Linked DNA regions of Lonchura striata. The protein of the gene in region 1 purifies or fractionates together with the protein of each later gene. This does not show direct contact. Links are inferred from orthologs where the notes say so. Each region holds a gene or a part of one and is shown on either strand. Other genes may lie near its edges.

Region 1 (16,418 bases):
CAGGTCTGCCAAGTGGACAGGATGGGATCAGCCAACTTCCAAACAGAGCTCCTGCACCAGCTCCAGGGCACAGGAGCACCAGCCTCCTCAGGTGACAAAATGAACACTTGTCCTAAAAATGCTAAAGCACTGGTCCATTTTATGCTGAGCTGATCACCACAACTGTAAGTAAACTGAGGCAAAACTGTTGTTAGAAGTATAAGTAATAAAATACCCACAGAGAAGAGAGCATGACTGAAATTGGATTTTTGCTCTGTCCACTGCTCCCATAGCTCCCAGGCAAGGCCGAGTACAGGTAAAAATGCAAAGTGACAGAAACCTCAGGTTCATGAGGACACCACAGAGAATACAGACCTAAAATTATAGTTTTAAGCATCACGTCCTCATTCTACAATCTCAGTACTGTGAGAAAGAACTTCCATTCTTCAGATCCACCTAGCACAGTGAACACTTTAAATCGCAATTTCATTCCCTTAAAATATGCAACCTGCAGAAGACGAAATCCTCTCTCAGCCTCTGTTAAAAATCCTCCCTTTAGACTATTACTAATGCAAAAACACTCATTCAAAAAAGCAAATGAGTTAAGATCAAAATCATGTATAACTGACATTTTGTTTCATTTACTTCTTTCCAGAAAGCTGACAAATCCAAGAGTTTATGAATTTATAATTTCATTCTGCAATTAAAACACACTAAGACACATTTAATTGAACTACATTAAACTGCCTAAATCTGTACCAATATTCATTTACTGTGTCAATATGTAAATGCTCTTTTAAGTCAAAAGAGTTGTCCTTTCACTGCTATTTTAAAGCAGACCAGACCACTGCCTGAACTGAGCTTGTGAAACAAAATAAGAGCATCTAAAAAGCAGAAGACTGATACAAATGTTGGTTCTTGACAGAGAAGAGACAAGAGAGGGAAAAAGGGGCTGACAAAGTCTCAACATGCGGCAGAACAGAAATCCCCACAGGGTTCCAAGTTTCGAAAAGTAATGGGACCATTCAGAACAGGGATATTTGTTGCATGTTCAAACCCTTCTCCACATTCAGTACACACCAAGGTCAAAAACTAAGACTTAACTCCTTTTTTAATAAGGGACTTATTTCAAAACAAGTAACTTTATTCAAAAAATCTAAGAAACAGCTCTGGATGACATCACTGGATTTAAAATGCAGTGAGACTATCACAATAAATTGCTGCAGTGGTCAGGTCAATAGAGATGATGCGCAGGTAAATTATTTGAGGTATTTTGGCTGTGATCCACAACAGAACAAAACCCCCAGATTTATAGGAAGAAACTGCACTTCGTCTCTTTGATCCACTGCCAGCTAGGCCCGAGACAGTGTCAGGACACAGAAAAAAATGCCCTCTCATTTGCTATACTTCATGTCTTTCCACAGGAACTGGTCTGTTCCTCGTCGTTCTATTTCCTGTACACAGACCAAGCCTATTGTCGCTAGGTGAAAACACACACACATGCCACCGATTTACCAGCCTGCGCTGGCATAAATCTCCCCTTAGGCAGAGGTGACCTGCAGCCTCAGAGCCGTGAACGAGCTCCTGTCCCTCTCCAGGCCCGGCGGACGGCGGCGCCGGCCGTGCAGAGATGAGCTCGCACGGAGCCCTCCGGGACAGGGGGTGACAACCTCGCCAGCGCTCCCGGCGATCCCGTCCTGCTGCCCGGCTGCCGGCGGGGGGGATCCGCACAGCCCGGCCGCCCCGTCCCTCCTCCTGTCCCCCAATCCCTCCTCCTCAGCCGCGCCGAGCCCTCAGCCCGCGGCCCCTCCACCAGCGCGCCCCTCCGTGCCCCGGCCCCGCCGCAGCCCCAGCCGCTGCCCCCGCCCGGTCCCCGTCCCCGCGTGGGGCCGCGCTCGGCCCGGCCCGGAGGCCCCGCGGCCTCGGCCCCGCGGCTCACCAGGAGTAGGTCTGCTCCGCCATGGCTGCGGCTGGGCGGCCGGCGCTGGGCTCCGCGGGCGGCCGGGACCGGGCTCCTCCTCCGATCCTCCTCGCAGGCTCCGGGGCTCAGTGGCGGCCCCGCTGCGGCTCCCGGCCCAACATGGCGGCGGCTGTGAGGAGGGAGGGGAGCCGAGGGTGGGGGGGGTCCCCGCGCGAGCGGGAAGGGCGAGGGTGGCCGCGGGGGCCGGCGGAGGCTCAGCAGCCGCGACGCTGGGCCGCGCTAGGGCGCCGGCGGGGCCTCATGGCCGGCGGGGCGGCGGCGGCGGCGACGGCGGCGCGGGGCGGGGCGGGGGCGGGAGGCGGCGGCACCGGGCGGCCGGGCCAGGCCGCGCCGCGTGCCCGCGCTCGCGCACGGCGGGGGCGGAGCCGCGCCGAGGGGCGGGGCCCGAGCGGCGCGCGGGGTCACGTGCCCACAACAGCTTCACGTGCCGCCGCCGCCGGCCGCGCGCAGGCGCTGTGGGGCGCGGAGCCCCGGCGGAACGGCGCGGGCGGGTTCGGGGCCGGGGGGCGCGGAGCCCCGGCGGAACGGCGCGGGCGGGTTCGGGGCCGGGGCCTCCCGCGGGCAGCCGCGGCTCCCCAGGTCAGTCCCGAGCCGGGTTCCGTGCCCGCAGCTCCCCCGGGCTCGCGGCTGGGCCGGGGAGGGACCCCGGGGCGCTCCCGCCGCCCCGGCGCGGCGCTGGATGCCCGCGGAGCCCGCGCGGTCCCGGCGCTCCTCTGAGCGCGGGGTGCGCGGTAAATGCACCCTTCAGGTAAAATGATTCATACTGCGTTGTTAATTCATCAAACGCACAGGTGTTTCTAGAGATTACTTTTGGATTTGTGGACTTTGAGTAAAATCAATAGGATCAAATGCTCAAAATGTTTTGTTTTTTTTTTAGGTACGGAAAATAGCATTCCAGACACTTTGACCAAATAAAAATCATGTGTGCTTCGTTTTATCACCAGCTTGATATTAAACCTGTGCGAGTCTCATGCAGAGAAACTGCTGCGTTGATATTGGTCTGATTTCTGCTGCCAAACCCTCAGCCCTTCGTTATGTTTCTGCCGAATGCAGAACTGGTGCTTTTTGCTGGGTTTGCTTGCGTCAGTAATCCTCACCTCCTGGGAGTTCACTTGCAGCAATTTTGTGCAAGTGGGGCTTTACAGAGCTTGGATCAATTGTTCCCATCCAGCTGTGCATTCCCACTCATTGTCCCTTTCAGTGTGGGAGGGAGAACAGCCACTTTGAACATACAGTTAGAGGTGATGTAACTGCATCAAATATAAATAGAAGCACAAATGCCTGGGGATGATAAAAATAACTATTTGTTTTAAAAACAAGTATGAAGAAATTCTATGCCTCGATAGAATCTTCAAAAAAATAATGAGACACTGGGACATTCTCATTGCATCTACAGGAATGCCAGATGCCTCCGAAATTTGGAGCCCACTTTAGTAGTAGATTGAATAAATTATTTTCATGCTGTCCATCTTATTTATTCTCTTTAATGGAAAAACCTTAGGCTGCTGGATGGTCATGACAGAGGATTAAAACTAAGGAATGTCTCTGTTCATCTTTGTTGTGTCACCAGTTGCTGTGTAATCATGGGCAGATCACTTCATCCCTGCTAGCTCAGATCATTAGTCAGTGCAGAGGGAACTGCAAAGTGCTGCAGCCACCTGAAGTTTTGGGGAGCTGCAGCAGGAGGATGCTGCACACGCAACACAGGTGTACTTGGTGGAGGGAATGCCTGGGACTCCTGTGCTCCAGTTAAACATGGCTTTTATTAAGATGGTGCTGGACACGGAGGGTTTCTCCCCCTGTATCTTTATGCTTTCCAAACTAGTGATATGGGTTGTGTCACTTCAGCACCCAAATCCTCAGTGTTCTTCCCAGCCCTTTGGCCTCATGGACAGGAATGACCTTAGAGCTCCCGACATAATCAGCTCTTTACCCACTTACTAAATCTGTTTGAGAATGGGATTTATCAGCCATGAGGTGGAAATGCTCCAAGTACCTGTGCCTGACTGGGTCACGGGATCCCTGCTGGGGTCAGTCCTGGCAGCTGGGGGTGCTGGAAGGATGAGAGGGTGAGGAATGTTAAACTTTCCTCCCATCCAGTTCAGGCTGGACTAACTGGAGAAACTTCCTGCCCTGTTTGATCTCTGCCCTCGGCTTGCACCCTGTGCACAGTCCCTCTGCCCATCTGGGTAGATCGGTGAGCTTCGGTGGGCATGAGAGGAGGAGGGAGGAGTCATGCTCAGAGCTGGAACAGTGGGGTCCACAGCCCATTCTGTGAGTTTGGGGGGAAACTGCTGTTCCCACATACAGATCCCCTGTCTAAAAAACAAAAATCTTAGGTAGGGTTTGCACAGTAGATACAGTGCCTGCTTTTGTTCTCCTCAGCACAGCAGAAAGACCTGCAGAAATGCTTAGATAATAAATAAACAATTTGGAATCCTCACTCTACTCTGGTGCAAACCTGAATGCCTGGAATGCCTATTGGTGCTACCCTTTTCATTGATTATAACAGAGTAAATGTAAGAAGAAAAAAGGACCTCTCTGTCCTTTTAAATCAATGCAGAGAAAAATAAATCAGTCTTCAGCCTTGTCTTGATACTAAAGAGCCTTTCCAAATTTTCTTTTTGCTGAGAAGGATGTAAAACTGATATTGCTATCTATGAAACAATATCCCTGTTTTGTGTTCAGCTTCCAGTTTCTCAGTCTTGCAAAATTTCCAGCACATTAATTTGGCACAAATGATTTATAGCTGATGAGCAATTAAAGTATAATTTCTTTCCAGCATCTCAGGCTTTGTGACTAGACTATTAAATGATTTTGCAAGCTTGCTCTATCATTACAGGATAGCGATGTAATGAATTCACAGGAGAAATTTATTCCTCCCTGCAGACCCAGCATCTACTCTCAACTGCAAACTGGAGCACTGCTTGCATTCCTCAGATAATTTTCTCATTGTATCTTCTGTACAGTCTCTCTTTGGACCTACAAGAGAACTTTAGTCTGAATTTTAGTGACAGTTTACTGTGACATTACAAAGTCCTCCCAAAATGTCTGTTCTGCCTGGAACCTTTGATGTAGACTGATGCTTTACTTAGACCTGTCAAGGTATTTCAGAACTAGCAGCAAACAAAACTCTTTTAAAAATTATTTTTATATTTGGAAGGGCAGCTCCCAGAGGCAAGCATGGTAGGTACAGAAAAATCAGATTAAAGTACTGGCTACAGAGTCCTCACCTCCAAGCTGTTTAAATGTCAGCAGATGACATTAGCTAACCATGTCTTGATTCTGCTGTAGTGGAGGTGGAGAGAACCAGAGGAGCTTCATGTAGACACTTCACCCTTCAGGAAAGGACATGACAGGTATAGTTATCAACCCTGCTTTGTTTAGGAAGGAACAAATAGCATGGACAGGAGCAGAAAAGGAAGGAAAAAAAACCAAAAATCAAGAGATCCACTTCTGACTGTACAGCTGGGAGCTATACTAGGCTATTTACTTGTAAGATCCTTGTGGGATTCCCCTTTATAAAACCTAATTACAACGTGCAGTGACCGTGTGTGACACGATTCTCTTCACTACCACCTAGTGGGAAACCTCTTCATAACCCAGCTCCAGAGCTGCTCCTGATCTCCACCCTCACCCTCAGCGTGATGGTAGAAACAGGGAGTAAGGGGAGAGAGAAAATGACAGATGACTGGGAAGGAGGACACAGTCCTGTTTCCACATACAGGTGGAGGAATGTGTAGAGAAAGTTTGTCATTTAAATCCATTTGCCCGATGGATTTACCACATCACAACTCCAAGCCCTGCATCCAGCCCAGCCCACTGATGAAAAAACCCAGCTTCCTTCTCGGTAAAATCACATTTTCCAATTACACTCACATATTTACACCAAAGACTACTGCATTAGAATCTAAATGGGTATATACTGGAAACATTAAAACCATGTATTCAAGCAAGTCCTTCCCCACTGAGATACTCAGGGTTTGCACAAATAGCTGAAATCCAACCCTGTGATAACAAGGTATAAATAACATTTATCTCAGATTTTTCACACTCCTGTGTGCCTTTTGGGACTAAGCTCCCAATGCACAAATAATAATCGGTTTTGGGACTCATGTAGCTTTTTTTTTTCCCCAATAACAGAAATAAGGGTGAAAATTATCATAATAGCTCTCACATTTCAAGGAGGGGATTATGTTAATGTCTTTCAGGCCAGTAAAGCATTTATCAGCCACAGCAGGAAGAACAGTAAAATGGTAAAGAATTATTAAAAGAACCATTTCTCCATGTTTCATTTGCCAATGGCAATTTTACCACTCTATTCAGGGAATTATATGAGCTCCCTCTAGTAGCACTTTTATCATAAATATATTTAGACTTCTTTTTTCTTTCTCTGTGTGCTCCTTGAAGCTGCATTACACTGGCTTTGTACCAACAAATTACTGTGTTTTTCATCATGTACACTTCATAATAGATATAATTCAGTACATTAAAACATCAGAGGTAAAAATGGTGTTGATACAGGACTGAGGGTTTGGGAGTCTATTCTGCCTTCCATGAGGACTCTGCTGTCCCTCATTTGTGAGTTTGGCCTAGTGCAATAAGCAGAATACAGACCAGTAAAATAAGAATAATGTTCCTATTGTGTACCCATTCATACTTTCATGCAGTGTTTTCAGTGTTAAGTAATTCACTCACTTTATTAGATACAGGAGAGAAGAAGAGATTACTTTGGAACAGTTAATACAAAAGCAAATACTGTAAACATGAGAAAAACAAGCAGGTATCTTTTAGTGTCTTCAAACTTTAAGTTTCCCCTGTTACAAGGACCAAGATCATATTAATCAGAGTGACCTGAGAATCAAGTCATGACCTAGGATGTGGTTACAATTAAGGAAATCAACATAGAGTAAGCACTAGTAATAGATAAAAATGGGTATAGGAAACACAAGTCCCCTTATTTCAAATATTCACCCTCAAGGCATCATCCCTGAGTACAATTCAGTTTCAGGAGAACATTGTCTGATTATGGCACTCTGCAACTGAGTTCTTCCTCCAATAGAACTATAATCTATTTCCACCCTTGACCTCTGCCATTCTCTCATCAACTCAAAACTGCACTTGTAATAATCTGATAAATCTGATATTGCAATCTTTAGTGCCAGGCTATAAAATAGGGATGCTGGTTAATTCACAACAGGAATCCCTTTCAGTCTGACCCCTAGCTATTTCTACCACTTAAGAAACACTGAAAAGCTCACTGGTTTTCCTGCACTGAGGATCTGAAATACTTAGTGGGGCAGAGCCATTCACTGGCACGGCCTGGCAGGTTCCAATGAATGGAAAAATGAAAGTGGGTAAGTTTATTTAGTTGTTTGCTAATTGTCCTACAGTTTAAAATGGACAATCCCAATAGACCAAGAGAAAAAGCCTTTCAGGATAAAGTGATACAGAATATTTACCACCTCTTCAGTATTTGAAATGTTTCCTTGTCCAGCTAAGCGTTGTCCACGTGGCATCCAGTTGTGGCATTCAGGGAGGTTCCATCATACAAACAGATGTGCATTTCTGGTTTTATAGACTTCAACGTTCACTGGTCTCAAAAAAAAGCTTCTAGAGCTTAAGGTACTCAAGGCAAGCAGAAGCAGCAGCATCAGGACTTCTGGGTGCATAAGGAATCCTTGAAACCACATAACATAGACCTAATTTCTTGCTATGCTTTCTTCTCTTTACAGCTTCTATTGACAAATATTGCTGTTCTTTATTTAAACTTAATGATCTGTGTTCCCCATCACCCCTCAAACATTCAATAGGTTTTATATACCAACAGAATATGGACAATCTCAAGAACAGTGGTAATATTTTCCACCTTGGTTTATGTAAAAGAGATCACCATGCCAAAGAGAGGCAGAAATAAGTAACACAGAATGACAGCATCTCCTCTGTCACATATTGCAAGAGCTCCACAATCTGCTGTGTCTGTTTGCAAAATCCTTGAATTATAAGGACATATCATGCAGAAACCGTATGTCATGGTTGGATACTGTAATTACAATTGAAAATTACTGTTATCAGCTGGTAATGTTGTCATATCTACCTGAGGGGCGGGAATGAAGGAAAACTAATAACAAATAAAATACATGGAAATTGTATCAACGCAGTGACAGTACAATGCCAGAAATGCTCACCATTCTTTAAATACTCTTGTGATGGGTGCAAAACCAGCACAACTCTTTATTAAGAATATGACCCCAAAAAAATCTTTAGAAGCTGAAGTTGTCTTTACATTAATGCTCACATGAACATTTCTTCAAATAAATGGTTTCACATGGACTCGGAATTCTCATTCGTTTTAGCCACACAAAGCCGTCAGTATCCATTAGAGCTTTGTTAACGCCCTGCAGGGAGGGGACGCGGTGCTCTGGGCACAGACCAGATCTGAAATAAAAGGCAAGAGTTAACACAATCCCGCCCGGTGCCGGGAGGGAGGAGGGTCCCTGCAGGAACCCTGTCCTGCAGCTGCTGACTCAGGAGCCTGGAGAGCTTGGCCAGTGCTGCCCACGATGGAAAACAGGAGCCAAGGTCCTCTGCAGCACTGTCTTGGGACACTGCCCAGTCTGGGGACAGCCCTACCAGGCTCCATTTAGCTCAGGCTCCATGGGAGTGTACAGACACAGGCAGTTGTCCTGGCAAGCTTCCATTGAGACCACAGCTTTACATCCTCCAAAGGATCACTCGCATGAGACACTCGTGCATCGAGCCCACGTGTGCACATCAAGTTACTCCCTAATTTAGCCATTCAAAGTAGATAGATTCATTCATATAATTTCAGATCAGAAAAGAGAATTTAGTCAAAAAGATTCCTGGAGAATTGTTTTAAGCAATTCCAGCCAAGCCAGGGATTGTGTTTTAGGAAATCACCCAACAGGTGGGAGCAGAATCTCAGAGGAGGGCTGGTATCAAGAAGGGATGGAGGCAGATGATAAAGGGGAACCACAAGCTTGCCCAGAGCACTCATCAGAAGCAGTAGGGCAGGCTGATGATAGAACAGGGGTATGAGCATGACCCAGCACCCAGGGATATCCTTTATCAAATACATTAATCACAAGCTCAGAGGGGCAAGTCCTGCAGTCCCCCAGATTGTGTGGGAACACTGCTTCTGCTCATAGTTGAGCAATAAACACGGAAAGGTGTAGTTTTTGAACATCAAGATACCCAGCAGCCAAAGCCAGAAATGAAAATGTCACTTAAGTCTTGATGGTCTGCCACAGAAATCAGCTGGAGCTTCAGAACACCATGTGAGGTTTGGGAATGTTCACATAAAGCCAGTGGTCACTTTCCCCTCTTCTGGGGGTTGCACAAAGACCAGCGCAGCCAGTGTGGCTTTCTCTCAGCCCAAAGCCTCTGGCAGGGCCTGACACTGGCTGTACTTCACCAGTGACAGAGCTCTGAGCAGGTTCTGTGATATTCCAACAGCAGCACCTTGTCCTGAACCATGGGCAGTCAAGCACAGCTCCTCCTTTTGGGTACTCCACCTTCTTCCTTCTCCAAAATGAATGGGGCCACAAGTAAGCCATGCTTTTCCATCCCCATCTTCCTAGTTTTCTTTCCATACTCACTTTTCCATGCTGCAGATTTTTTATCCCTTCATTTTCTTCTCCTTCTGACTCCTGCTTCCCTCCCTTTCCCCCTCCCCCTGCTTTCTCTCCCTCTGCACTTTGTGAACTGCTGCGGCAGTGCTGAAGTCCAAAGTTCAGTAACTTGCTAAAGCACACAGATAAATATGAACCTTGGAGAATTTACATTTGCTCCAATGTAAACAGATAGCCAAGGGTCCCTTTATCAGCACTGGCTCAGGACAGTCGTGGGGGGTCTGAAGTGGCTCAATTTTGTATTTTGTTTTTTTTGGGGGGTGTAAAGGCGGGAGGCTGCGCTGTGCCCACTCTCCTGACAGTCGGGCGCGTTACCTCAGGAACATGGTGTAGGGAAGCTGGAAGCAGGATAACCCGAAATTCAAACCCAAGAGACACCAGGCTGAAGACCATGGTCTCGAAGCTGACTCATCTCCAAGTGGAGCTGCTGGAAGCGCTGCTGGAGTCGGGGCTGACCAAGGAGACCTTGATCAAGGCACTGAGCGAAGCGGAACCCTACGGGCTCCAGAGTGAAAGCCAGCGCGCTATCAATGCCCTCCAGAGTGAGAAAGGGGAGCCCTGTCCCGACATCCCCAACCTCCCCAACGGAATGGGGGAGCCCCGGGTATCAGAAGATGAAACCTCAGATGACGGAGAGGAATTTACCCCTCCAATAATGAAGGAGCTGGAAAACTTGAGCCCTGAGGAGGCTGCTCACCAGAAGGCTGTGGTGGAAAGACTATTACAGTAAGGACAGATTTACTGCTCCTCTTTGCTGCTTTCTTGCATTCTCCCTCTAAATCTCTTTTCCTTTCCCCTTCTCCTCAGTGTCCCTAGTATTCACAATTGATCACAATCTTCACCCAAGCCAGGACTAGCATCCCCCAAACACCCCCAAATGCTTTATAAATGCTCAGATTTTCCTTTTATCTCGCTTAAAATGCATTAAGGAAGCTATGGAGCCTGATTACATATTTGACATGCTTATAGCATCAGGCTTCAGAATAGTCCAAGGCCTGTATAGCTCTCGTCTCTTTTACTGAATTTTAAGGTTTAGGATTTAAATTTTTAATACAATTCAAAATTTCAGTCATCAGGAAGGGAAAAAAAACCAACTGGTCACTCTGAGCTGGTGCTATATTTGCATGAATGGTACAGTGAAGTTGTAATGTTTCCCAGCTGTATTTAAGGATAATTATATTGTTAATTTCACTGAGGTTTGCTATAGATTATTGGCCAAAGCCAAATCAAGAGACCCTGTCCTTGTTGTTCTTTTGAGTGTGAAGTGCCCTGACTTTGGTGGGGATTTTTCTTGTAAAAAGCACACCCCAAATACATGATGCAGAGGTTAAAACCTGGACAGAACACTCTGCTTCTACCACCCACTGCCCATCACAGTTACAAAGTACATACGCAGCAACAGTTACAGAGTTTGCTGCCACATAAAATTTGCCTTTGCATACAAGCATTTTTGAGATCAAAAGACAGGGAAAGCTCCCTGAATCAATAAGCCTCATAATAAAGTCAGAGAAGCATTCACTCAATTTCCCATTTGGGATTCTTACTGGGATACAATCCCCATGGGAGACCAAAGTTTGTCCAAGCAAGGGTCAGGCCCATCCTACCATCCATCACAACAGATTCCTGACTGCTTTAGGGCTATTTTGAAATGACAAGCTGACAGAAGACAGAGGTGCAGCAACATCCTGCACCTAAAATCTTCACAAAAAATCTAGCTGCGGAATTTCTCAGGCTTTCTGATCACTCTCTTTCACTTGCCAAGGAAACAACTGAAAATATAACAGCAGAAGCAAACATCAAATCCCACCACAAAAGGCCAGAGTTAAGAAAAGAGCATGACAAGACTTAGCATTCCCTGTAAATACTTAAAAGAAAGCTCCCTGGCAGATTGGGAGTTGAGGATTCTGCAGAACCCAAGAGAGGAAATCAGCTCTTACCTGGGTGGGAAAATATTCCCAGTAATTCTCTCTTCTTCCTGGCCCAGTATGTCTCTCATCTTCTGCACTTCCAGCTCTTCCACATCTTTAAGTTTTCTCTACTTCCTTTACATTTTTCAGATTCTTTTTACCTATCTCCCTTCTCTCCTCACTATTGTTTCTGCTGCTATTCCTCCCATTTTGTTGTGTCCTTGGCTGGTTCTCTCTCTGCCTCCCACTCTTTTTCTTCCCCTCATCCTTGTCTCCTTCTCATCCTCCTGAGTCTGCGTACAGGTCTTGGGGCAGTTTGAGCCCAGTGGCACCGGGCGGGCCCTGGCTAGTTACTAATTATCCAATGGCTTTATTATTTCTCTTTTGTCTTATAAATTTATAGATGAAAATACCTTGATAAGCTTTTTGATCATTAACTTTTGATGGTTTATCAAGTATTTCTCCAGAGAGGAAGCCATGGAAGTTGAGGAAGACCTCCCTGGCTTTGTCCCTTCTCTCTAATGAGTGGGTGAAGCAGGACTGAAGTGACATCTGCTGTGATCTAAGAACAGACACAGGGATGGAGGCAATTCCTTCCTGTCACCCTCACTTCAGCACCATTTCTGGCTTCTGATCCTCCCTGCCTTTCTAGGATCTTGCTGCCAGTCTTCCCTGTGCTTACCAGTCTCACCACAAGTCTTACCTCTCTTCCAAAGCTGTGATATTAACACTTTTTGATGTACAGTCAGACAGTGTGCTGAGCAGCATTTCCATTTCACAAATGGAAACTGAGGTACAGACAAATTCTAGGACCTACCTAAACCCCTGAGACAGCACAGAGGAGACTGGGCAAGGACAGGGATCTCCTAAGCCTCACACTGCCTCTTAATTACAAAGGCTTTACTCTGAAACAGAGATCTCTGCCATCAATCTCCCCCACCACAGGACAGAGCAATTCACTTCTGCTGTTGACAATAGGATGAAGACACCAGTAGCCTCAGTGTCAGAAAAAAATTACAAGTACACTTATGGAGGTCTAGAATAGATTTAAATTAATCAAGTTAAAATGAAAAGAGTAGGAAGCCTACACTGACATATTTCACATTTCTCATCAAATCAACAGAATGTCTAAAAATGTGTTCAAAGCACCTGAACCAGTATCAGGGCTTGATAATACCCAAGAAGTTCTTATCTACTAATACACTTTTTTGGTTTTAAGACCACACCTTTCCATTAATAGATTTAAAGTAATGTCCTTAAAATAATACTATAAGTATTGTAAAGCAGGGCAGAATAGTCTATGGTAGAAATTACTTCCAGCAATAGACAAAAGAAAGGCAGGCAAGAATCTCCATGCCCATGGATTCCCAGCAAAAGGTCAATGCTTGCAAAACTATTTCACCATCTACACAAGGGTTTCAAATGCAGAAATCAGATGGAGGCAAATCTCCCTTTAGACAGAAGCCTCTTTGGGCATTATTAACAATTCCTGGTCTGCAGACCAAATTTCAACAGACAGATTGACTTGTGGGCAGCTATTGCTGATACAGGAAAGTCTGTGGTAATTGCTTTATAAAATAGAATCAGGAAAAGTGTCCATTATTAGGCTTTCCAGGAGCTGGGAAGAGAAAAAACTGACAGCACCAAGAGACCAACTATGTCTTCACAGGACCACTGAAGCTGAAACTGGTTTGAAAAACTCTGGTCAAAGCTGAGTAGAACAAACAAGATACACTCACAGGACTGGGTGCACCCATGGGTGTTGATTAGATTTTGTCCCTGCAGAGAAAACATGCTAAAAGCAGTTCAGATAAAGGTTTCTCTAGTGGGCAATTAACATAATTTCATTTTGTCCTTTCATATGTCTCACTGATCTCCTGTAGATTTACAGTTTGAATAAAAACATTCTTTCCATATCAATCCACACACAAAACAAATTGCATCTATGATAAGAAATAAATGACTCAGTAGGGAGGTAGAGCTGTGAGGAGAAACTCCCAGACATTCCCAGAATATAAAGCAAGAAGGAGGCTACCTTGGGGGAAGGGATCATACTACTGCAGGTAAAGCAAATGAAGAGAGGTATAGTGACAATCCACCTGTAGGGCAAGGGCTGAAATTCCATTAGGAAAGAGAGAAGTTGAGATAAGCAACAGATTTCCCCTGGAAGCAGATATAAAAGCATGTTTCCCAGAAGGAAAAATGAAAACAAAGATATATAATGACAAAGGTTCAGTCTTTCCCCTGCTTAGAATGGCTCTAGTTGGGGAATCTGGAGATGAAGCTGCCACACCCCTTTCATTTCCACATATAAACCAAGATGAGGCAAACCAGGCCAAGTTCAACAGAAAGGAGCTCTGCCAGGATGGATGGTCTTACCTTCCCTCTGCCCAGCCTGGCTCCAGACTGGGCACTGAGTTGTGGAGCAGCTCCAGAGGAAAGGGCTGGGGATGGTCCTGAGCACTTCACAGCTCTGAACCTCTGCTTGAGCAGGGTCTGGTCCAAAGCAGCAATTCAGAACCCACCTCAGGGAAATGAAGGCTTCTCCCACCTGAGAATCAGAACAGGAAAGAAGGGGAGAGAGACAGAACGAGGAAGAGGAAAAGAAAGAAAAGAACAAAGGAAAAATAAGAAGTCAGGAAGAGTGAAGGAGGGAGAAGGTCCCCTGAATGTTACATCTCCAGCTCTCTGGAATGGGTTTTCTTTAATGCTAACAACTTGATATTTACTTTCCATTTAAATTTGAGATGTTGCTATAAATTATCAACCAGCCTCTTGTTCCCTTTGAGTTTATAACTAACTACCTGGGTTACTTATTGTTCAGGTAACAAAAGGGAGGTGAAAACGCCCTTAAAAAGTGACCTCAGAACTAAGAAAATGGGAAGCTGACATGGAGAGAGGACCCTGGCCCCTGTGCTGGGGATGAGCCATGGAGAAGGGCTATGCTCACATGGCAATAACCAACTGAGAGCAGGAGAACAAGACTTCAGAAGACAGAAGTAAAAGCAACCTGTGTAAGACCAACTAGGAGACAGATTACACCCTGGAGAACAAGACCCTGGGGAGACAGTTTGCTATCTGAGGAGAAAGGGAAACTAAAAGGCAGAAAATTGGAGATGATAGGGAAGGAGAGTTTGAGCAAAGCAGACCTATTTGTGCAGTTCTGACTCACTGTAACAATTGAGATTTGGCTGTAACAACAAGCAGGAGAACTCAGTTTAGAGTGAAATCCTCCCTCTGACAGTCAATGATATTCTTAAGACAGTGAAATAGAAGAGGTCTCAACTTCTGATGTCTTAGCCTGTGATGAAGGCTCTGCAGGTGGAATTGTGTATTTGAGCAAGGGTTCAGCTGGCCAGACTGTCATCACTTGGACTGTGGTGTAGCCTTGGGCCTGAAGTACTCGCTGCATTGGTTTTGCAGACTGGCCTTTGACAATGTACAGAGTAGCCAGGATTTCATACAGCTGTCCTAGGAAATCACACTACTAAGATCCCCTGCACTATTTTGTATCACAAAGCTTCCTGCTGTGTCAAAAAAAGACAAAACCCACAAGTCTTTACTGTGAGAAGAGACTCACAGAACCTACTGTTTATTCCTGCTACAAAATGAGGATCTCAACAGAGGAGACAAAACTGACTCGACTGGGGTGCAGAAAGGAACTAACACATAACAGAGGCTTCCATCAGTGACAACACAGTCTTTCCTCCTCCTATCTGAGCCAGAACTCAAATCAAAGAAGTCAGCTTCCCAGTCAGAGGCTTTTCTCCTCTATAGAGGGACTTGGACAATGAACACAGGGTGCAGGTGCTAGGCAGACTATCACAAGCACAAAGGCAGGAGACTGGTTTGGGCAGCAGAAAGAAAGAAGCAAACAAATAAAATGAACCACAAGGAAAGAAAAGATTTCTTAAATTCAGCTCAATTTGAGGTTTTTGAAAGTCAAAGATAGTTAAGGGAAGATGCTGAAAATCAGAAGCCTCTATGGCAAGTGCTCCAATGTAAAAGAGAAACTAAGGTTCTATTTTAAGCAGGTTTTCAAAAAGCTGTAACTGACACCATTTGTGTCACACTTTAACTGCTCTGGAGCTTGCTCCTTGGACTACACAGGCCCTGGGAGAGGGGCTGCAGGGGAACAGAGATAAGGGTGTTTGTACTGAGAGAACAGGTGTGGACTTTGTCCTCCTTATCACTGTGCAGCCTCCAGCAACCTCCTGAGTCAACAAAGCCATGAACAGCACAGTTGTTGCCTGTTGCTCAGACATGTGTGCTCTTGAGACAGTTTCTGCACCCTCCCAGGCACCTTTTTTCTCCCCACTGCTCCTTTGATGCTGGTGTTGAATATGACACCAGTGTCTTCCTACAGCACTGCAAACCATTTCCTCCAGACACTTCACACAGAAGGCACAGAAGGATGCTCTTGTTCAAAGTGAGCCAGGAGCTGTGCTGCAGAGGTGCTCTGGCACAGCTTGGATTTAGACTGATGTGTTTCTTTATTTCTACTGTGACTTTCAGCTGGGGTGAAATCAATACACATAAAGTCACAGTCATGTTTTCTCTATTTTCCTCAAGAACCTTAATGGGATATTCTAACTGGATATCAAAAAGCCCAGAGGATCATATTAATTATAAAATCCCAAACTGTTCCTCAGATTTTGTGAGCGGTCTTAAATAGTTCTATTCCCTCAGCTGTTACCAAAAGGAGGGCAACAGTAGGAGGAATCAGTGGTTTGCCTGTGGTTCTACATTGCATTTAGAAGCTTTGAGTAGATCTAGGTGTGAACCAATGTGTTTGAGTAACACGTAGCAGATGTGTAAAAACATAATTCTGGATGATTTGTCATATGCATACAGAGCTGCCATGTCACAGCATAATGACAGCCTGTTTTCATTTGCTGA
Region 2 (16,219 bases), on another chromosome or scaffold:
ATGGACTGGCAACTAAGACAATGAACCTCAACTTATACTGGATGGCTCCTTAGTCAGTAGATGAACTAATGGCAGCTAAATTGCTACTAAGGAATAGTTTCTTCATGCTGAAGCTCTGAAATCCAGTTGTACGTTCTGTTCCTCAACAAACTCGCAAGTCTGAAATTTAGCAGTCTCTCTCAGAAGATGTAACTTCTGACACGTGCAAAATGCTAATGTGAGTTCATTCACCCTCAGGATCTGTGTTTTATTGGCTGTTTTTAATCAGATAATTTTTCAACAAAAGACTGCTTTAAGTTCTTTCCTGAACTCAGCTGGGCAAGCAGTCCTCTTCAGCTGAATGTGTAACTGCAGGAGTGTCACACCTCGCTGGCAAGGAACGTGTTGCATGTCACCACTGTACCTTGGAAAAACTCCACTCCTTACCTCCTCCTGTTGATCCTGTTTGCTCCTGTCCGTTCCTCACTTGTGCATCCACTCAATGGTGCTGTGCTGTGTGTCAGGAGATAATGCAGATGTATTGCTGTTCTGCTAGTATAATTTGTATTCACGTATGCTGATGAAATAATGAAATCACCTAAGCAATTTCTGTTCATTACAGTGTTTATTAATTATATCAGATGAAATATAATCCCACTAAAAACTAATTAATGTTGTCAGTTGTGAAATGATGAACATCAAATAGAAAAGTGTTCAGAGAGCCTGCACTGTGCTGCTTGGCTCTCTGGATTTAGGAAGGAGATCAGAAGTGCACTGCTGGTATTTCCTAATTCTACTTTATTTTATATCTGACTAGAGTTTACTGGTGCCATGCAGTGAAGGGGAAAAAAAAAGAGGAGATTCAAAGTGACTAGAAATGGAATTTTCAAATACTTCTGTTCTTCTGTGTATACTCTGCAGAATACATTGTGCTTTTTTCAACACTTTTTTTTTTCCATGAGAAACACTGAAACAGCATGTTAATGCCTAAACTTTATTAGTACCAATGGGAAAACTGGCATTTTCCCCCCATAGTATGAAAACATTACTTGTAAGGTAAATTGCTTATTTTATATTATATATCATAATTCAGCTATTCATAAGCTAGGATCACTGTTGTGTGTTAACACTGTTCAGAAGACCGACATGTCAAGTTTAGGTTTTAATAATTTCTTTTAATTATCAAGTTTCTAATGTCTTATTTATACATAAATGAAATGTATTAGCTTGCTATTATTCCTTAATGATGCTATAAAGTTCACTGTTTAAGATACATATAATAACTACTATTCATTTTCTTGATTAAATTTACTTAAACTTTAAAACCAAATAATTTTGCTACTATAAAGTCTTGCACTGGACAGATTCAAGATGCTAGCATCATATTTTGGCAGAAAAAAATCAGATACCATCAGCAGCTGACTTTGGTATCAAAGATGGTATTTTTAAAATCAGCACTTAGCTTTGTCATTAAAGCAATGTTCTTTAAATCTTGGATTTTGTTTAAAGTAATCAAATTAACTAGAGCCATTAAAGATTTCTCTTCTGAATGAATATATTTTCATTTTGTCTGAAGGATCTTAATATTCAGTCAGGACACAACCAAGCCTTGTCAGTGAAAAGTGATGTATCTGTGAAGAGAATTACCTGGAATTACAATACACTGAGTAATTCAGTGAGAATTTTAACTCCCTCCCCCGTTTTGAAGAGCTTTAAAAGGCAGAGCAATGTGAAGTCATTTGTGCAATGGTTTCATTAGCTGTGGCTCTGCTGTTCTTTGTTATATGTATAATAATGTTTCACACTACCCTTAGAGTTGACAGATAAAACAGCTGATAACAATCATAAATACTTGGAACTGCAAACTTCATTTCTGATTACAAAAAGTTCATTCTTCTCTATTTTAGTGCATATATTTTAACACTGCTACATATATTTATGACTTATTATTAAGACTAGACCTTTCTCCTTGTGACTTTTTTCCGAAATAGAAGAAACTGTATTCTGAAATTTGAACCACTTTCTGTTCCTTCAATCTTTCATCATTTGCTTTTCCACAGGTTTACTTTGGGGGTAACAGTAATCTGTTAAATAACTAGTATCAGCACCCTGTCCTCTGCTGTAAAAAGCCTGATTAGATACTGTGTATGTTTTTATGTCCATGAACTTGAGCTACTCGTGTGCAATTATGTGTATGGGAATGGAGTAGTGTTCATGATCTGTATTTACATCATCATATGGATGTATATTTATTAATAAAGTTAATACTTTAAGACCTAGCTGGTTTTCCCTGTTGTTTTTTTTTAATACCTTTTAAATTCTAGTTGAAGATGCGAGTTGACAGCGTTACCTGCTTGTTACAGACATGTTACATGTATTTGCATTAAGGCAAAAAGACTGAGTTGCCAGTGTCAGGAGATAGAGGAATGTTGCTTATTTTTTAATGAATTGAAAACAATGTGACATTAACTTAATTGTACTTCTTCTTTTGCTCAAAGTGGAGAAAAGGGGAGGAAATGAGCTATAACCCTGTATAGATAAATAGTCAGCTGCTAACTTTTTCCTCTGTTGCACATGGAAATCAAACTGAAAGTACTCATAAATAAAATTTTAATGGAATGGTGGTCATAATTCATTATTCTGCCTGTATTCCAGGTATGTTTGTGCTGTGGCAGGAAGGAGATTGTTAGGATTAAATTCACAGTAAGAAATTGTTTTCAAGTTAAAATGCTGTTTTGACAAAAACATAAGGAGAAGGGGGAATGAGGCAGCTTGTTCTTTGCTAGTCTGCGCTGGTTTGGATTCTCTTTGTGTTTTTGCTTTCAGGCTTGTTCCATATCAGCTGATCTAATTAAATATTTTCCCTCTATGTGCAAACCTCATGTTTTCTATTTTTAGACTATTATGTCCTCATTATTAGTGCTTATGCAAATTTGACTTCAAAAGAAAAAGCTTCAAGCGAGAAAATGTGTGCTGTAAGGAATGACACAGTTGGAGAAGTACACCTGAGTAAAAACAAAGCTAAACGTCCAGTTTCGGTAATAAGTGACCCCCATCTTCATTTATACACAATTACTTGCTTTTTCCTGCCCTATTCCCATGTGCATGGTTCATGCTCCCCTCAGTCATGACTTATCAGTTTTTGACAGATGCAGAGCTGTGGCAAAATTTCATTGTGCACTGCTGGCAGTTTTAAGGAAGTGTGTTCAAAAAGATAGCAGCACTGGAAGTAATGTGTTCATTTTCAAAATGTCCCAAAGAGTCTTGAGGCTTCACTATTAAACTGAAATAAAGTAAAAACTAATTCTGCAACATGAAAAATACAATTTCCTATAAAGGAATATGGGAGTATTTATCTTGCCTTTCTGCTTGGGAGCTTTGGTTGATAAGCTGCTGGACAAGAACTATTTTATAGTTTGCTGCCTTTTACTCTTACCCCAGCGTGCTGTAGGTTAAGGCACAGTTTGTGTGCAGACAACTCCCAGACGGGACCGTGCTTCCTAACGAGGGTGGGAGCAGGCAAATCCTTCGCCAGGCTGTGGGAAGAGCTGGGGCTGGTACCAGAGCAGGCTTGGAGTTACAGGCATCACTGCTCAGTCGCAGCAGCCCGCCGAAGCCATGGGATGGCACTTGTTCGCTGCAAGAATTTCCGACCTGAACTGATTTAAATCAACGGTGAAATGCTTCCAGCAGCCTCAGCAGCCCGACAGCCGGCCCGGGCATCACCGTGCGGCTCAGCCCTGCAAGGCGGGGTCACAATCATGGGGTGGCTTGGGTTGGAAGGGACCTTAAAGAACATCTTGTTCCACACGCCTGCCATGGGCAGGGACACGTTGCACTATCCCAGGTTGCTCCAAGCGCCGTCCAGCCTGGCCTTGAACACTTACAGGGATGGGGCAGCCACAGCTGCTCTGGGCAGCCTGTGCCAGGGGCGCACCATGCTCGCAGTAAATTTTTTCTGAAAATAATTTCGGTAAAGATTTTTTTCCCTATTATCTAATCTAAACCATTCTTCCTTGTCACAACACGCGCTTGTAAACAGTCTTGTCCCATCCTCCCTATAAATTCCCATCAGGTACTGAGAGGCCGTAATCGGGTCACCCGAAGCCCTCTCTTTTCCGGGCTGAACGCTCCCAGCTCGGGGCTCGGCGGGGCGGCGAGAAAACTCGGTTAAAGCCACCGCGTTGTGCCCAACGGGAGCGGAGCGCAGCCCCGCTGCGCTGTCCCGCCCCACGAGCTGAGCCCTTCCCGGGGCCGTCCGGGGGCAGCGGAACTGGAAGTGTCGCGGGCTCCGGCGGAAGCGCTCGTTGTCCGGGGAGACGCGGCGGCGGCCGCGGGGCTGTGGGTGAGGATGTGGCGGCTGCTGCTGGCGCTGGCCTGGCTCGGAGCGACCCTTCCCGCAGGTGCGGCCGGGGGCTGCGGGTGCGCGGGGCGGGCGGGGCGCGGCGCTGACCCGGCCCTCCGTGCCTCTCTCCCCGCAGGAGCGGAGCGGAGCGGCGCCGAGCCGGTGCGGTACCGCACGGCCGAGATGGCGGACGCGATGCTGGGCAGCGGCGCCCTGGCCGAGCAGCCCGTGCTGCTGTCGGCGGTGCCGGCCGGGGCGAGCGGCGGCCCCGCGGGGGTTTGCGATGCGGCGGGCGATGCGTGCGGCCCGGCGGGGAGCGGCCCCGCGGCCGCCCCGGGCCGGGAGCAGCCGGTGCTGGAGGCCGTGCTGCCCGCGCCCGCTGAGGAGCAGAACGGCACCGACGGCGCCAGGGCTCCCAAGGTGAACTGCGACGAGAGGAACACGACGGGCATCGAGCGCTTCACGCTGCAGATCCTGAACGTGTCCCAGGTAGGCGGGTGGCCGCGCACTGCCCGGCGCTGGTGTGAGCGCTGAGGGTGCCCCGTCAGCTTTCAGTGCTCCACGTAGTGAATTTCCCTGTGCAACGGCTCTACCGAAGAAAATAGATGACTGGGCAAGGAGGCTTTTTGGGCCATTCTGGGCCGGAAAAAAAACTTGAGTTACGGCTCGTTTCACGTGCCTGTGTTTGTTATCTCTGTGTCTGCAGGGTACTGCCAGCTCTTTTGCTCTGTGGACTGGTGTTTCACTTGGAAATCGTTAAAGGCAATTAGTGCCAGCTCTTTTCTTGTAATGCTTATGTATATGTATATTTTTGGGCCATTCTGGGCCGGAAAAATTGAGTTACGGCTCGTTTCATGTGCCTGTGTTTGTTATCTCTGTGTCTGCAGGGTACTGCCAGCTCTTCTGCTCTGTGGACTGGTGTTTCACTTGGAAATCGTTAATGGCAATTAGTGCCAGCTCTTTTCTTGTAATGGTTATGTATATGTATATTTTTAAGTAATAAACTTTTAAAGCAACCTTTAAAAAAGGTTATATGCAATTCTCCACCTGTTTCAAAAGGTAAGGCTGCTTGATCGGTTTTGCCAAGTATGTAATCGATTGCTGAATGCTGCATCCCTACACAGAATTTAACCCTGTTAAATATGTAATTGTCCATGCTTGTTCTCATGCTTTCTCCAAGGACCTCATGGAGTTCCTGAACCCAAACAGCAGTGACTGTACATTGGTCCTGTTCTACACACCGTGGTGCCGCTTTTCTGCCAGCCTGGCACCTCATTTTAACTCTTTGCCCCGAGCATTTCCAACTCTTCGCTTCCTGGCACTGGATGCATCCCAGCACAGCAGGTAACTCACACTCCCTATGCTCTAGCTGCACTTAATTTCTGTTAGCTTTGAGTTTTAAAAACAGGAGTGACCTTTTTTCCCTATATAAACTGACAATTTTATTTAGTGAAACTGACACTTCAGTATTGTGACTGTCTTTATTTCTTCCTCCAGAAAATTTAATTTCCTTTATACTTTATTTTTTGTTTTTGTAGTTTATCAACCAGATTTGGAACAGTGGCTGTACCAAATATTCTCCTTTTCCAAGGTGCTAAACCTATGGCTAGGTTTAATCATACAGACAGAACTCTGGAAACCCTGAAAGACTTCATCTTTAACCAGACAGGTGTGTAAATCAGCCCTGGTTTGCCAGTGGGAAGAACAGACTGGCTTTAAGGTCCAAACTGGGCTTTCCTGTCCCTGTGTGTGTTTTTTAAAATGAATGTCATAAAAACCCTGAGAGGATCTAGCAGAGGTTCACTTAATCAGTTGCTGCAGTGAGCTGGATTTCAGCCTGTGCTGGGAGAAGGAACTCAGCTCCTTGGGTGCTGTCACAGAGCAGGGGGAACGCTGGGGTTTAGCTAGGGAGGCTGCCAGAAGGATGGAGTATATCCTCCTGCCCAAAGATTTAATTGAGAGTGAAATAAATTAACCTCTCTCTGCCATTCAGCTAGCTCTCTTCTAATCCACACTGAAGTGCTGTCTGGATCTGCATTTCCAGAAATGCACAAAAATGAGATTCCTGAAACATGCTAAATTAAATGTCCACCCCCACAACTTGTCCAGGGTTGTGCTGTGGGAGGACAGAACAAGCCTTCTCCCATAAAAATCACTACGTTTTTATAGCAGTAAATCATATCCTGGGCATATGTTATTGTACAAGGATAATCTCACCAAAATTTTAAGTCTACCTGTGTTTGAGCCTTAGTCTGGGAGCAGGAGCAAAGCTCAAGATAGAAGCAGCTACTCTGTATTTAGTGATTATGATGTTGACCAAGTACTTTGTTTTTTAGGGATAGAAGCCAGAAGTGATGTGGCTGTGACAGAGGAAGACTGGGAGGGGCCCCTGCCAAGTGTTCTGACGAAGGGCATAGACTGGCTGCTCCTGTTCTCGGTGCTGTTCCTGGCTGGCTTTGTCATGTACGCCACCATCCGCACCGACAGCATCCGCTGGCTCATCCCGGGGCAAGAGCACGAACATCAGGAATAACTTCAGAGGTTCAAACAGGGACAAAATTTTCCACTTATTGGTAAAGTGGGGATTTCTATGGACTAGAAGTACCTAAGAATGAACTGTTGAATTTGTTGGTTGTAATTTATAATAATGACTAAAAATTGACTTTATTTATGAACTACTGAATCTGTGACAAGAACATTTGTAGCGATTCCAGTGGTAAGTGAACAAGTATGAAAAAATATGAACTAAAGTATTTATTAAGCTGCTCTGATTTACTTATTTTTAATGGATTTTGATGTAATTAGTGTTGCAGTTCCAATTTGTAGATCAGGGAAGGTTTTTACAGCACATTGGTCTGTGTGTGGCACTACAAGGCAAACACTGGTGAAGGGAGGTGTTGGTACGTTAGTTTGACTGTCCATAAAATGAACTATGAAGATGTTTTAAATGATTTTTCACTCCCATGGAGGTGACTGTTCCCACCTCTGGCACTGGGGTTCAGTGCTGGTTTTCTCATTCACTTCACTCTGAGTTTTGACTTAGTAACAATTCTCTGTGAGATTTAGAGTCACTTCCAAGCTCACCTCACTATTCCTGTGTGTGTATACAACTTATTTACCACATTCCCGTTGGATGAAATTGTATTAATTGTCCTTTTAAAAAAAATCAATCAGGTTTTTAGTGTAACCTTTTAAGATGTATTTTTCAGAAGTAAAAACATGCAATTTCTGAACTACAGCTCACCTGCCTAAATAGCAAGACCAGCCTTGATGTTTATTTAAATTTCTAATACCATGTTTGCTAGTTCCACACTCTCCACTTGAGGCTACATAAAGAATTTATGGGTTTTTTTTAGATATGATTAGTATGGAGGGCTTTGAATAAGGTATGGGCTGGTATGTTGTGTGGGGTTTGGATTATGTGATTGCATAAAATTTATCATGGTGGAGGCTTGCCAAAGTATCCTAATAGGGTGGTTTAGAGAGCAAATTAACATAAAACAAAGATAGTCTTAAGACTTATTTTTCAACAGATAGCTCATATCCCCGCAATGTAATTAATGTAATCCCTTCATTAATTTCTCTGCTGGCTCTATCTTTTCCTCTGGAAACCAAGAGGTCATGTATATCTGTGTCCAAAAAGGAAACTGCACTGGTAAAACTTCGGTGTTATTGAAGATAAGCCTGATGGATGTTATTAATAAAGACCGTGAACGATAGATTGGAGCATTCTTGCCTTGGCCATCTGCTTCGTTTGAGAGGCCCAGGGTTGGATTGTCCCGGTGCTCACGTCCACACCGCTACCAGGGATGTTTTTACAAACAGAACGGGGCTGATTCAGTGGGGTGGGAATGACACCTGCCCGCTCACTGTGTGACAGAATCCACCCGCGGCCGGCCGCTCTCCTCCGGGGTAGGTGTCACGAATCATGGCAACATCAAGGTTAACAGAGACCTTTTAGACCGTCCAGACCAGCCCCTAAACCGCATGGCCCAGCGCCCGATCCCCGCGCCTCTGGAGCCCCTCCCGGCTGGCAACCCCACCGCCTCCCTGGGCAGCCGGAACAATGCCCGGCCGCCCCGACAGTGAAAAGGTTTTCTTTAACATCTGATCGGAATGCTCCAGTCTCAGCTTCAGGCCAGTTCCTGTCCTCTCACTGCAGGCACGGCAGAAGAGATCGGTGTCCCCCCCCCTCCTTGCAGGGCACGGCCCAGAGCGATGCGGTGCCTGAGCCTGCTCGCTCCTGGCCGGTGGCCGCTCCCCTGGCTCGCTCCCCGCGCTGCCCCCGCTGCCCCGCGGGGCGCGGCGGGGCCGGGCTGCGGCAGGGCCGGGCCCGGCGGGGCGGGTCCGGCGGGGCCGGGCTGCGGGGCGGGCCCGGCGGGGCCATGGCGGGCGGCGGGGCCGGCGGGGCGGGCTCGGCGGGCTCGGCGGGGCTGGGCTGCGGCGGGGCGGGCTCGGCGGGCTCGGCGGGGCGGGCTCGGCGGGGCGGGGCCCGGCGGGGCCATGGCGGGCGGCGGGGCGGGCCCGGCGGGCTCGGCGGGGCGGGTCTGGCGGGGCGGGCCCGGCGGGGCCATGGCGGGCGGCGGGGCCGGGCTGCGGCGGGCGCTGCTGGGAGCGCGGCGGGCGGCGGGCGGCGCCGGGAGCCCCGCGGCCATGGTGAGGGTGAGGGCGAGGGCGGACGGGCCCCTCATGGGCAGGCAGCGCGCTCGGGTCAGTCCCGGCCCTGTTCCCTCGGAACTGGGGCATTGGGATTGCTCAGCCTGGAGAGGCCGCCGGGGAGACCTGCTTGGCACCGTTCAGTATGGGGAGAGCCATGGGGAGAGCTGGAGAGGATTTTGGACGAGGGCGCGGAGGGAAAGGATAAGGGGGAATGGCTTCACACTGATAGAAGGTTAGATGGGAGATCGCGAAGACGTTCTTCCCTGTGGGAATGGTGAGACCCTGGCACTGGCTGCCCAGAGGAGCTGCGGCTGCCGCATCCCTGGAAGTGTTCATCCAGGCTGGATGGGGCTGGAGCAGCCTGCGAGAGGGGAAGGTGTCCCTGCCCATGGCAGATGGGTTTTAACATCCCTTCCAGCCCAAATCAGTCTGTGATTCTCCCGCCTCACAGCTGATTATTTTATTTTACACAAAGCTCATAGTGAACAGCAGGTGCAGGGTTCAACCCTCACCCCTCAGGCATGAGAGTTAATTCTATTTTGTTTTTAAGTTATGACTGTTTGCCTGAGCTTCCTCTGAACAAACAGTATCCATCACTCGGCCAGTCCCAGCAGCCAGCAGCCGCTGAGGGTGCGCTGGGTGCCCGCAGCTCGGATGCTCGGTCAGCCCTGGCACCCGGTGCCCGTTCCTGCTTCCCTGGGGTCTGGCCATGCCCGTGATGAGCTGCTGAGGGCTGAGCGTGGAAAAGCCATTGCAGTCTCCCACTTTATCTTCTTCCTTCCTGCATTCTGCTCCATTTCTGAACATCGTCATGTGTCAAGGGGCTGACTCAGGACGTGGCCTCCACAATGTGAAACGCGCTCAGTGTTCAGCAGGGCCTGCATAAAATGTGGTCTCAGTATCCCTATTTTTTAATAGGATCGAATTTCAATGTCTTCTCTATGGCCATGTGTCAGGTGAGGTGTCTGGAGGGCACCACAGTGTCCCCAGAGCTGGCACAGGACATCTGTGCCAGCTGGACTTTGTGTTTGGGACACCAGCAGCCCTGGACTTTGTTGTCTCAAAAAAAAAAACCTCCACCCTCATGATTTTTTTGTACATTTGCAGTCTAATTTAATCTTGTGCCAGATAAAACAGTAGATTTCAACATAGCCTTTAGCTTTGGTGATTTCTGTATATGCTTGGGGAAGAATAAAAAAGAAGAGTGTAAGAAATTTATGCCTATGACTGCAGTTATAGATAGCAATGACAAATCTGAAATTTGTGTTCTTGCAAGCTTAACATTGTGTTTGAAGTGTAATGACCCTAAACTTGTTCAGTTTGGGGCCTGTAAAACCCATCTCTTGTTACAGCTCTGTATCCCCCTAAACACAAACAATAACAGTATTGCTGTTAGATTGATTTACTCCATGTGGGGCTTTTTATCCTATGTTATTGGTGAAAATGTTGCTCTCTGGCCCTCGTGTATCTTAAGGCCTTGCTCAGGTCGCATTAATTGCGTTAATTCCTGTTCTGCTCAGACTCACAGCCCCATCTGGTGGCTCCGGGGCTCCCGCTGGAGCACCGGCTGGCAAAGGTGAAAACTCCTGAGCTGCTGAGCTGGTCCTCGCTGCCTCCCACGTCTGAGTGAACCTCTGGAGCAAAACTGCCTTTCTGGAGGATCTCACAAAGCTGAGACAGCTGCTAAAATAAAGACTAAGCCAGTCTGAATGTAGCTGGGGAGAAAGGTTCTTCCCACTGAAGCATTGCATTTATCATGAGTCAGAGACCCATCTCTCAGAATATGTGGTCTGAGGAAGGGCTCATGATCTTAGTCCCCACTTTTAGAAAAGGTATCAGACCTCTTCCGAAAGCCCCACAGAACATTCCTCTGTGTCTGGCTCTGGCCTTGTGTGTGGTTCAGCCCCTGATTCCAATATTTCAGCAGAGTGTTAATCTGTCATGTCTGTGCACCCAGTGGCATCAGGAGGACTCCTGTCACTTCAAGTAAACCATACTTAAACACTGGTGCTTTACAGAATCTAGTGCTTTTACCAGTAGCTTCAAACTTTTTGTAATCGTGTGCAGGTTCATCCATGTATTGACATTTTTTTTATTTTGATTTAGTTACAGAGCTCTTTGTTCCTTGTAGAAGTCCACAGCATGTGCTGTCTTCAAAGTCCATCCCCACTTTCTTAAAATAGTAAAATAAAAAGTAGGTAGAGTTCAAACTCCTGTTTCTCTTCTCTCTTTTGAAATAGGTATTTCCTGATATTGTTTAGCCTTATAATTGTACATTTAGCAAATAATGTAAATCATCCTTTACTTACCAGACAGAATGGAACATTTGGAAATTAAATGTGATGTTACAGCATCTGGATAATTCAGAAGACCAAGGGTACAGGTATGCTGATGTCCATCTTCATTCCTGGGAGTCTGTTGCTTTTCACTAGTTTTGTACAAAAAGCATTTGGCTGAACTTACCTGCCCAAATAGAAATGGCAGGGTTTGGCTGGTTTAGGTTAAGCTGGTCTGTGAAATTATAAATGGTAAGAAACTGTACAGTGAATTTTCCATATACTCACCTTTGCACCATATATAACCACAATTTCATAATGTGGTTTTCTTACTGATGTACAAAAGAAAACCTCAGCCTCACTTGTGCCATGCCTTTATTTTTTTTTTTCAACAGTCCTCCCAGTCTCACTGGTTGACGACAGAGGAAAGGAATCAAGTTTTACTGGATCTCAAAGCTTCAGGCTGGTCTGAGCTGGGTGAAAGAGATGCCATCTACAAGGAGTTCAATTTCAAAAATTTTAATCAGGTAATGATTGTTATATGCCACTTTTAATATAAAGGAAATGTAATTGCTTTAATTTCCATATGATCCTGATGGGAAAATATTTATATTCAGAAGTTTGGGAGTATCCTGGTGGGGCCAAATCCTCTTGGATTTGCCCTGATGAATTGCTCTCAGATTCTGATCTCATTAGGTAGAGTAAATTAATTCAATGTTGTAGTTGATAAGTAGATTTGTTCTAATGTTACAGTTTCTTGATTCTAATATTCAGGTCAGAGGCAAGGCTGGTATTGTGGAATCAGAAAAAGCAGTATTTGATCCTGAATTTTTTTTTTCCATTACTAGCACTGATAAATAAATGCTAGAAATATATAAGTGATGGGCAGTGGGGATCATTTTTGTTCAGGGAAATACGTGAAAAAAAAGAGGTAAATATAAGAAATAACAAACTTTTGGCAAGCAAGGTGGGAAAAACAGAAACATTTCACCTTCTAAACAGGAAGACAAAGTTCTAGTATATCCTTGATTGAATTGTAATAGCTATCTTTCAGTGTCTTTGGCACACAGATTGCACAGTGCTGGTTTTTATTTACCTCACTGGGTTTTTGTTTGGAAACAGGATCCTGAGTGACATCTCACACTCACAAGAACTTGTCTCAGACATTAGTTGCAAACTTGCTTTAGAAATACTGAATTTGTCTTGAGATCCCTGTTCAGCTACATTCCACTGAAAATTCCCTTCTGAGGAATCATGACATTGCTTAGAAAAAGTCACATTCCCAGAAGATGCATTTCCTTTCTGTTTTATTTCTGAGGGAGGGGTGAACTCTTTCTTGGGAGGGAAAGAATTTCCAGGGGTTTCTTGGGATGATGGGTCTCACCAAGCTGGTTCTTTCCCTCACTACAGAGGGACATGACAAGCTCCAGTTTGGGGATGCTGTGGGTTTATTGGTGTGTGCAGGGACAAAGAGCTGTGTTGTGAGCTGTTTATATGGCTGTGCCTAAACCCAGAACAAGATGTTTTAGGAAACCACAGTGAGCTGGATAAACAACAATTTGTAATGCTGACCCTTGTTTTGACTGTTTCAGTAGTTGCCATATTAAGGAAAGTTCAGGCAGTAGAGAGAAGGTGGGTGAGGTGAGCTGGGAGAAAGTAAAAGAGAAAACAACTGCAGAAAAATCCAGCTCATTAGCAGGACAGTACTGGTCTAGGGAGCATGTCCATAACCCTGAGTACATTTTTAACCTGAATGTTAATACAGAGCAAATAGAACCAAATCAGTTCATTCCAAGGGCAGTGAAGGGGAGAAGCCCATGAGAGGGAGCTCACAGGAAGCCTTGGTGAGATGTGTAAGCAGCTGGGAGCTGGAGCAACCAGGAATGTGGCAGGATAGAAGTGACCCTTGGAAGAGCAGAGATTTTCTGACTTTGAATATTCATGAAATTACATCTCTGCCTGGTTGTGGTCAAAGTCTTTGTTGATTCAGCGCAACTAGAAATGAAGTTGCCCTCAAAATTAATTAAAAAGTGTTTTTTCCCACTGTAAATTAGTAACTCAGTTTGATCAGATGGATTTAGACAGTCCCTGTCTGCCAATAGACAGGTGAGGAGACAAATCAATGTCCTGCACCAGCAGATATCTGGAAAACACATTACTTTGACAAAAATTTACAAAGTTGTATTTTTTTTTTTTTTTGACAGTGTAGACTTGTCTTACCTACCAGCTTAGGTAAATATCCATATGTCTTTCTGATTTGAAGGTGGATGGAGCACATACCAGTATAGGAAGTTGAGTATATTTAAATTACCTTGTTGGTAAATGATGAACTATATGTCAATACTTCTGGTACCCGTAGTCATGGGAAGAGTACTTTAAAGAAGTGCCACTTGAATTTTTTGGGAGATATTAGAACAGTGTCTTTCATGCTTAGCTGCTTTCATGGATGTAAGGCAGAAATAAGAGCAGAGGCTGAGAGTTGGGTTCAAAATGAAATTTCTGCCCCCAGTTGGGAGAAAAAGCCTTGCAGGTGGGTGCTCTGGGCAGCTCTGGTTGGATCAAGTGTAGATGTGAACATGTAAGGGCAGAATTTCAATGCTGATTTTTGTGGATTTACTGCATTGTCCCCTTTGCTGTTGCAGAGGGCAGAAATCATTTCTGTTCTTGTAGTCCAGGAGCAGGCTCAACATGCAGATCCCAAGGGCATTAGATCCTTAGCTGGTATTTGCCTTTCGATAAGTTGGAGCTGAAAATAAATCTAAATTATGCATGTATGCTTAAGTTTATTAAATTATGCACATATACTTGTATTTATAATGACTATCAGTAAACACCATATTTACTACAACCTAGGAAACAAATGGCAAAAGTGGAGCTATACCTGCCTTGTACTTTAGGAGAATTTCATCCTGCAATGAAAAAATGGAACTTGTAGATACAACTGCTTTCATTTAATGCAATAAATATTCTATTTACAGGATTTAAAGTGTTTAGTAAAAGTCAAAGGACTGAGAAATGTCATTTCCTCAGTGATCTTCTTCCTGCCTTTTTACAGATGGTGTAAAATCAGGTGTGGAAAAAAAATCACCCCCAAAAATGCAAAAAAAAAAGTAGTTGAGCTGACATGAAAGGTATTTCAAATTTATGTTTTGCAGATGATATTGGTATGATTAATGTATTCATTGCTTTTTTTTTTTATTGCTTCTTGCAGATAATATTCATGATGCATGGAAAATTCTGTGGCTTCAAAATCCATGCCAGGTTTACAAAGTTTGTGTATGTCAACAGATGTTAAGAATATAAACACAACTTTTATTATAAAGTTGTGCAAATGTGTAGACATGAGCTTGGTTTATGTATATTATTTTCAGCATGAGAATGAAATGAAACTTCTGTGAAACAAGAGTTATTTAGATTCCTGAAGCTTTCAGGCTGAGATTAGTTCACTTAAAAGCGGTCAGCAGTGAGCTGCCTTTGTAAGGCTGACAAGCTAATGACACTTCTGGCTCAGAGAATTAGTTTGTAACCCAGAATTTGAAAGCACTAATGGTGTTTGTTAGTCTGAGGATACATTTTCACAAAAATGGACTTCGGTGGTACAATTCTCTGAAAAAAGCTGGAAGCCAGCCTGGAGTTTCTACTGAAAGTGCTTGGTTGTTTTTGTTGCTGTGGATGCCCACCAAGCACCAGTCCTGACTGTATGTATGCTCCCAGTATGTGAGGCAGGCTCCTGGTGGGTTGGTGTTCTGCATCTTGTATAAAATAAACACAGCAGTGGTGGAGGGAAAAATGCAATTCAGCTGTAGAGGAGAGTTCTGTGTCCAGAAGAGCTGTGCTGATGGCACCAATGCCTCTCTTCCTCCATATGCCACTGAACTATTGCCACTGTGGAGTGGCAGGTAGGCTGTGATGAGTTAACACTGCAGTCTTTTACCTTCAGGACCCTCGATGGGGTGCACTTACTCAAAGCCCTTGGGCTGAGTCCCTTTTCCAAAGGAACTTGTTCTTGGCTGAAACCTTTGGCTGTGAGTGAGGTTTTGGAGAGGAGGTGGGCTTGGAGCACTCCATGGCAAGTCTGAATTCCTGCTGTGCATCTGTGCTCATGAGCCTCTACACACCTCACAGCCACATCAGGGAGCTTCTTTGGGGCCTCTCTCCCAGGCTGCAGGGCAGAGAAGAGTGGCTGGTGAGGATTTCAGGCCATCGTCCAGCACCATGAAGTGATGTTGTCATCCATTCAGATCTTTGTGCTACTGAAACAAAATGGTTTTCTTCCAGTGGAGCAAGCCCTCTGCTTCCAGTCTGCTCAAACAAAATTGGGAACTGGGATAGAAAGTTAGTTTATGCCTTCAGGTCATGCTGGTAACTTCTCCCAGCATTTCAGGTCAGTTCACCTTGGGAGCAGTGATCTGGAAGAAGGGACAGGTCTGGTTTAAAGATGTGAATTTCTCCCAGTTTCACCTCAAGCCCACTCCTGGCCTGGGTGGGCAGCTGCAAAAGGCTGTGAGTGCAGGGTGCCAAGTGCTCAGTTTGGGTCCTGTATCCAGCTGCTCATTTTCCCTGAATTTGCAGGAACATCTTAGCTCTGAGACTTCCATGTCTCTTGTCAAACTTGGTTGGATTTGACCAGAGGGTTTAAGGGGCAACTGCCTGTGTGATTGCGTTTCCGTAGGTAATCACACCAAGGCAGCAAATGCAGTTAGGAAATTACAAAGGTGGGCAAGTTTGCTGATGGTCAGGTTCAGAATTTACAGCTGCTTTCTTTTATAGGGTAAGTTTTTAATTAAGTTTGTTTTTTTTAAAAAAAAAGATTCTGTAGGAAGTCTCCATAAGACCTCTAACGTCATTTTCTAAAATGACAGGAAATCAAATGCTCTAAGAGTTTTAAAGCTATTTCAGATACATTTTTTGTCTTTTGGGGGAAGAGGGTGAAGGTGGAAGATGAGTCTGAGTGGAGGGG

The links.
Region 2: the proteins of HNF1A (region 1) and PCBD2 purify together in Homo sapiens (affinity purification with mass spectrometry; 4 studies listed by BioGRID and IntAct, with this or other methods). This does not show direct contact. The link is inferred for Lonchura striata from reciprocal best matches to the Homo sapiens genes HNF1A and PCBD2.

What each region holds. Positions count from the first base shown.
Region 1 is NC_134620.1:4,609,204-4,625,621, reverse strand, and holds the start of HNF1A (hepatocyte nuclear factor 1-alpha), read left to right. Parts: upstream 1-9,798; 5' UTR 9,799-10,003; coding exon 10,004-10,338; intron 10,339-16,418. Other genes in the region: SPPL3 (signal peptide peptidase-like 3), read right to left, coding at 1,919-1,941. UniProt on the Homo sapiens protein: Transcriptional activator that regulates the tissue specific expression of multiple genes, especially in pancreatic islet cells and in liver. Binds to the inverted palindrome 5'-GTTAATNATTAAC-3'.
Region 2 is NC_134617.1:9,284,710-9,300,928, reverse strand, and holds the start of PCBD2 (pterin-4-alpha-carbinolamine dehydratase 2), read left to right. Parts: upstream 1-8,977; coding exon 8,978-8,980; intron 8,981-11,295; exon of another isoform or gene 11,296-11,366; intron 11,367-11,654; coding exon 11,655-11,786; intron 11,787-14,225; exon of another isoform or gene 14,226-14,390; intron 14,391-16,219. Other genes in the region: TXNDC15 (thioredoxin domain-containing protein 15), read left to right, coding at 4,331-4,382, 4,461-4,813, 5,505-5,668, 5,863-5,993, 6,661-6,857.